Linked DNA regions of Drosophila melanogaster. The protein of the gene in region 1 binds, or shares a complex with, the protein of each later gene. Each region holds a gene or a part of one and is shown on either strand. Other genes may lie near its edges.

Evidence for each region. The genes of interacting proteins can lie anywhere in the genome.
Region 2: the proteins of edl (region 1) and aop are in contact, whole or in part, in a crystal structure (PDB 1SV0), measured with the Drosophila melanogaster proteins. Residues at the interface, in NP_523786.2 of Drosophila melanogaster: Thr108, Arg109, Lys134, Pro136, Met137, Asn138, Lys140, Ala141, Leu144, Met145, Met149, Arg153; in NP_001259908.1 of Drosophila melanogaster: Glu69, Phe70, Asp71, Leu72, Pro73, Pro100, Gly101, Ala102, Asp104, Val105, Asn108, Val109.

The regions. Positions count from the first base shown.
Region 1 is NT_033778.4:18,671,381-18,675,135, reverse strand, and holds the start of edl (ETS-domain lacking), read left to right. Parts: upstream 1-1,599; 5' UTR 1,600-2,190; intron 2,191-3,755.
Region 2 is NT_033779.5:2,177,055-2,180,809, reverse strand, and holds the start of aop (anterior open), read left to right. Parts: upstream 1-2,055; 5' UTR 2,056-2,963; intron 2,964-3,755. UniProt on the Drosophila melanogaster protein: Ets-related protein that functions as a negative regulator of photoreceptor development acting antagonistically to pnt and the proneural signal mediated by RAS. It acts upstream of SINA to inhibit R7 development.

The DNA of each region.
Region 1 (3,755 bases):
TATACATTTTTCTCCGTGTGTCCTTATCTACGCGCGTCCTTCGCATCGCAATTAGAAATGATTAGAACAACGCCGCAATCAATTAAGGAAAATGGTACCTACTCAATTTATTTGCCCGGCGATCGACAACTGCTGATAAACAAGCCATTAGATGCACTTGAGATCGCAACAGGACACCGCTTCAAAGAGTAGCTGCTGCATCTGCGCTGCAATTCGAGTGCAGCTGATCGATCCTGCACCTATGCACCTTTTTCAGGGCGTACGCGTGCCCGTGGGCGTGGTCCTGCAACTACTGATAAAATTTCCAAGTAAAAACTGGCGTAACTCGATCAGCGGCATGATCCCGCCTCACGCGATGGTTAAAAGGATTCCAGCACGCACTTGACAGCTCTGCACACATGGCTGACCTACAGTACAGATAAATATATATATGTATGTATTACCATATGCTATACCATTCCGATTCGAATCCCCAAAAAGGATCTCCAGAGGTATCCCGATATCGCTTGGCATGCGTGCCAGCCGCAAAACATTGAAATGCTTTTTAGTGCGCGGCAGGAAAAGGATTTCCTGTAATTACTCGACGATCAATGCTGGCTGAATAATTAGGAACGTTCCACGAAATTAATGAGTTAGTTACTTACAGAATTAATGAATGCACAAGTGCATGATAAATCTTCGAAAATTGTTAATGAATATGGTGATAAATTAAGTGTCAAGGTCTAGTCATAGAAAACGTGGAATAATATAGGAAAAGTACAAAATATAAAGGTTATGGATATTTGTATATTCTTTTATGACATATTAATTTCAACATTTTATTTCAAAACATGTTTTTAATAACTACTCCTTAAAATACTTTTTTTTCAACTGCGCACAGAAGTGTCAAAGACACTCGATGACAGCTTCCAGAAAAGATATTTAGAACATTCGAATGCAGGGATTAACCCGACGGATTGCCTTTCTCTGGCTGTATGTGAATCTTTCGTTTCCTTAATACCCCTATAAATAAGAATACAAATACCATAAAGTCTGTTTTCAAATCCCTTAATCCTTGAACAAAAAAGTTCATACAGCTAAAGTTAACCCACATTTCTATAGGCCAAGGAACTATTCGTATTTCCTTCATTCTGGAAGCCAAAGAACCTCTTTTCATTGACCTTAGCTGTTGGCTCAATAAGCAGGAAAGATTGTTCGAAATGCGGGTCTGCATATACACTGAAACAAAAAACTAAAAATTTTCAATATATTCACCGATATTAAGTCAGTAATAAACTATATAATTCTATACTTTGATATGATTTATTTATATAAATTAGGTAAATATTTATATATAGACATATATCAAAAACTAAATTCTTAAACATTTGTTAATAAGAACAAAAATTAAAGTTAACGCAATAAGTAAAAATATTTTTTTTTTTTAATTTTTCCAACTTTTAATTGTCCTTTTAATACTAATTTCTTTCTGTACGCGATCTACAAATATGTCCACAGCTGTTGTCGAGAGAAACTGCAGAGCTGAGAAGCCGGGCCGAAATTCGAACTCGAATTCGAAGAGAGCGCAGTCAACAAAAACCGCTGCACGAGCACGATCGCAATCAGTTGAGAACGTGGAGCGCGCGCGAGCAGAACGCAGACACAGATACATTTCTGAGCTTCATATAGATTTGCAGTGCGCATTACTCACTCATCCGCCAGATACAAAGATACGTTTCGCAGTACGCCTGACGATTGCAACTGGCAAACTGGATTTACCACCCCAAAAAAAAAAAATAAAATAAAAGAAATAACAAAAAATAGAAAACCAAAACAATAGCCACAACTACAAATCGTGTTAAGTGAAAAACGAAGCCAATTGCAGTAGCAACGAAAAACTTTCAAAACCCGAGCCATAGCGAAATAGGAAAAGTAGTTCAGAGCGTGAAAAATACGTTATATGCTGCAAAAGTTGTGAAACGAAACGTATCCGAGAGATACAATCCCATTGGGAGAGCGAGAGCCAAGCAAAGTGCAGTTTCCAGAAGCAGATACCATTTAAACATATTTATAACCCAACCGAAACCAAACAAATAATAAAGGCTGAAAAATTCGAATACACCCAAAAAAACAAATTTTCCAACAACTCAACCTCGACGACGACGATTCGCAACACAAACTATTGTTGGATTAACATTTTTTTCGATCAAGGTAAGTCGGTTTACATATGCTGTTTTCATTTTTTTTTTTTATGGCCATCATTAACACTCAAAAGCATTCCGAAGGTTTAAGTTGACTCTTGGCTTTTATAGTTGGTATGTAGCTGTCTTGCAGCCCAAAAACCGACAAAAGTTGTCTGTCAGTTTTGATGTGACTCTGGCTAATTGACCTCCAAGCTGGTGTTTTCATAATTAAGCTAAAATGAAGCCGAGCGGTAGTAACAAATTGAAAGTTCACGTAGATACATATTTCAAGATATCTTGAGGTTCGACTGGTTCGGCATTTGCCAAGGGAAATAAGCTACATAACGGCTAAGATACATCTTTTGGGCCAAAAAGAGGAAGACCACCTTGTGCTGCTCGACTGATCCCTTAATAACATACAATTTCGTTCTGTGCACTAACAAAGCGACACTTAAAATGCCAAGACGGCAGCTGCAAACAGAATTGTTGTGGCCAAGTCGATAAAGATGCATTCGGCTGGATGGTTTCGTGGTTTCTCCCAGTTATTGGACCCGTTTCTCTGTTCATTCTGTTCTTCTTGCTCACACTGAATGCGCGCGCATGCGCAAAGGATATGGAGTTGTATGGGCGTCGAGGGTTGCAGCAGGAGTGGCATACCGTTTGCCCCGCGTGTTCTGGGTAATCTTTGCAGCTGCAGGACTGAACAATCTGCACCTGGCCTCGCCCGCTTAATTAATTTCCCAGCTGACTCAGCTCGCCGTCGTTCTTTCTCGTGGGGAGGTGGAAATGACAAACCTCTGACTATGCCACTCACTTTGATAAGCACTTACTGGGCCATCGGGCAGGGGACCCACTTCCTGCTGACCCAAGGGCGGCGAGGAGCTGGGGATCAGCTGCAATGGCTCACTTCGCGATGACACGTGCGAGGCGTGAACAGTGAACGCGGAACATACATGAATCCCCTACTTTCTTAGTTCCTATCACATTCATTTTAATTTACTTGCGCTACTGCACATTTGACAAGACTCAAAGCGATTCGAAATGCATTTGGCGCCATTTGGCCGCACGGTACTTATATTTTTAAACGCATCAGCGACAACAAGACCGAAAGTCGTCACACATCCGTCCATCACACATTGGGGGCCACAGTGCCGCACACTGAGCGAAAAGGTTGTGTGCGAAAAAAATATCTCTCAAGAAATAATATAAAAATAATATTAAAGATTAAAAGCACTGGGACTTTATTCCAACTCTACTGGTCGAATAATAGCCAATTTTGTTGTTGCATTGTGACTATTTCTCTCAGTGTGCAGCGAAATGATGAATGGGGCTGTTGGGGGCAGACAGAGACGGCGCGACAGCGTCACAGTGCCACTGAATGAGACGGCAATAGCAGACGTCAGGCAGACGATGCAGTTGCGCTGCCTTCGCCTCGATGGCGTTACATGATTTGTAGTATCAGCAAACATACGTCACAACAACAAAAACAACAACAACAACAACGACAAGATGTGGCAGCATGTGCACAAATGCAATCCGGTTCGCTTGCCCGCCAAGCTAGACGAGCAAAAAATGTTTATTTTTAACAATATT
Region 2 (3,755 bases), on another chromosome or scaffold:
TCTAGAGCACAAGTGGATGCCACTTGGCTGCCGCTGCCTCCGCCTCTGGACATTGGCATTCTATTTTAATGAATTATCTGCACTTAGGCATCGAACTAAGAACTAACAACTAAGAACTAAGAGCTGCGACTATAGCGATCACCCGACAAGTCGGATGGATCTGAATGGAGTGGGAGGTGGCGCAGCAGAGGCGTACTGGTTGCATTGCAATGGCGAAATACAGATGTACAAACGCTGATTGGCTCAATTGGACGACTATTTGAACTCTGACCCCTGTGCGATCCTCATCGGCAGCTCTGCCCCTTCCGCCCCGTCCTCCTCCTCCGCCAGCCACCCTTTCACCCTGGAATTTCCCGATGGGCGACGCACCATGACCGAAGCTACTAATTTGGGCCAGTGATCGTCGCTGCGGCGATCACTTGGAAACGTCGTCATCGCCATCGCAGCTATCGACGGAAAAGATAGCACTTGAAAAAAATATCTCTATTATATTTCTTAATTAGAGTCACAATCTAAAAGTTCTTTAATGTTTCATATCACGAGGCTTACTCGCTAAACTATTTATAGCCATAAAAATACATGTTACTATTTATTACTTACCTAAATGCCCATTAATCTAGATTTTCTTTCAGTGCATACCCACGGAACTGAGCAGGGGCGTGCAGGGCGTGGGCGGGGTCGTCCGGCTGGTCGCCGTTTATGGGCATTTGACTTGAAATGTCAACGTAAACGTTGCTCGTTGCTCGGGGAGAAACTGGTTAGCCAACTGAGGCGACTGGAGACCCCAAAGCGGATGCAGTGCAACTGAGCGCATCTTCAGGCCCACCGACCGACCGACCAACCGACCGTCCAAGCAACCTGACGAGGAACCCCAGCCCCGCCCCCTTTCCAAAGAGATTTTCCGTCGCAGCCGAGCGGAAATGTTCCAACAATTTATAATTAAAGATTGCCAACTGGTTTCCATGAAGATCCAAGATTTATGGGATCGAAAACACCTATCAGCTAGCACCTCCAAACATTTTGTATTACAATAGAGCGCTTTTCCCAGGCGCGTGGCGCTTATTTCATTTTCGGCCAGGGGGTCGTATTCATAATTATTTCAAATGCTTGAGAGCATTATCGCACACTGATTAGAGTTCACGGAATTGTCTTATCTATGGTTTATGTGCAAAAAGCTCGCCAATAGTCACAATTGACAGCTAATGGGTATGGCATGCTCGATCATTTCAAGTTTCCAGTCACAATAGGTGTGTATGTTATCTAGTGAGAGAACGATCCCTTGGTATTTCGGCGCCCATGCTTCTGGTATCAGCATGAATCGTTTGTTTAAACTTTATCTTCTATTGATTAACAACTAAATCGAGCGCCCCACGCGAATTCGACGCCGCCCACAGACAGCGGTTGCCTATTGAGTTGTTTCGTAGTAAACTTTGGTGGGTTTTAAATTATTTAAATTATTACCTCTGCGAGCTGTTGCTTCTTTCGTTGCCAAGGAAGTGGATGGTGGATCTGTAAATGTTTACGCGCCTAATGATTTGTTTGTGGTCTTTGCACACACTCCTACTTCTCAGAGTATAATAACATAATCGAGATTATTATGGCAATTGTGGGGAATCTGGGAATTTTAAAAAATTACGAACATAAAATACGTATGTTAATTGAGATTATTGTGAAATTATTCCGGAATTGGAATTGGAATTTTGTGGCGCATGCAAGTCTCTCAAGCTCTGATATAAGATTGTTTATAAATATTGAAATATAATGAGCAGCTCAGGGGTGTCTTTCAATCGTTAAAACTTTAACTCATATAAGACTGGCGCATCAAAGCTTCACTGTACCTCAAAATATAGGTCCGATTTAAGATATAAATCTTGGACGCTAAAACGGATACGGATCAAAGCGCGACTTCCTTAAAAAATTATCTTATTTTCGTATTCTTCACCAGTTCTTTTTGAATTGTTTTTGCTGTATGTCGCTCTCTTTGCTTCTCTTTCTCTTTCGATTCTCTCTCCGCATGCGCCGACTTGTTCATGTTCGCCGCCTGTTCGAATCGAATCGGCAGTCAAAAAGAAACTGCCGTGCTGGGCGGACGTGTAGAAGAGTCGCTCCTGAAAGCAACTAGACATTCTGCTGTAAATGGCAAACTAATATGTTTTAAATTGATTAATTCACAATTAATAGAATTTAATTCGTGCGCGGCGTTGAGGAAATAAACGGTTCTTCTTAACTCGGTGTGTGTTTACATTGCCCGGTGTGTGTGTGCGCGAAACGGAAATAAAAAATAAACAAGAGCGACAGCAACAACGCCAACAACAACAGCAACATCAGCGAGAGCAAAGCAACGCAACAAGAAGTGCAAGCAAAAGTGAAAAGGAAGACGAAAGAGGAAATGCCAAAGTACAACAACAAATACACGAACAAAACGCCAGAGTGCAAGTGCATCGCGTGAGTGTCTTACAGTGTGCGTGTGCGTTTGTGTGCCCGCGTCTGCCTGTGTGTGCGTGCTGCTGAGGCGGCGGCGGAAGTAAAAACGCTTGACTTCGCCTTCTTCTTATTCATTTGCTCCGCTTTACGGCTGGCATTTGTCGCAGAACGAAGCGAAAACAAAAACAAAAACAGAGAGCCTGGATTAGCCCCAAAAGCACACAACCACCGCCCACGCGGCGCCCCTCACCAAAAGGAAACAGCAACACAAACAACAATGGCAACTTGGCGCGACGCCCTCTTCGTCATCAGCAGATAACAACAAGAACAACATCGAATTAACAGAAACAAAACCAAAAACAAAAATAAAACAAGAAAGCGAAGCAAAAGCTAAAGCATTCTGGGATCTGGACATATCCGCTTCCGCGTTGCTTCTGTCGCTAAAAAGCTCAAGAATCGAATCCGAAGCCCAACGCAAACAGACAAATTCACTCACTCACCTTACAGTACGTAACCACAGTGCACAGTGGAGCAAACAGGTGAGAATTTTGATAATTTGTATACTTTTTGTTGTGAACTGTTAAATTAACCATTGTCAAAATAGTAGCAGAAAAGAGTGTCAAAAATAAAAACATTTTTTCTCAATATGTAAGCACAATGGTTTTTATATCTGGAGTTCTTTTATATTCGTAATCGTGCAAGAATCGGTGTTTACAGACATTACCCCTGTATCACTCCATTGCCGTCGTTGCTTTTTTTTACGAATTGGTTAAAACACCATCTTTTGGTACATGTATTTCCCATAACTACGTCACAATGGTCATGGAAACAGAAAAGTGTCTTGTCTGAGCAGCTGATAAATAATTGCTCCACCTTAATCTGGCTTTGGTTATCTGCTGCATATGACTTCCCCACTTCGCTCCACCCGACGTCTTACAATGTCTGAGTTTTGGTCTCTGGTTGAGGTCAACAATTTGTCGGATCTACACGTGTAAACAGATAACTTGGGCTATATTTGGTTCGCAGTACACTCATATGAGATGGATGAAGACTCGGCAACAACGGTTTATCTAAGGTTTAGTTGATTTATTTGCCTGTTCAGAGGATCTGATTGTGGCGTTTTCATTTGGGGCTTGTTTAAATAATAAGAGTTACAATTTTATGGGGATCTTGGGAGTGGTTTTATAGTTTAATTATTGTTTTGTTATCTGATTGTTGCGCATAATTTGTTGTATGTTCTTCTTGTTTCCAAATATGATTAGATATTTCTTACAGTCTAGTTGGATTGTGATTAATTATTACCTGTGGTTGGTTGAGAACCATATGCAAAT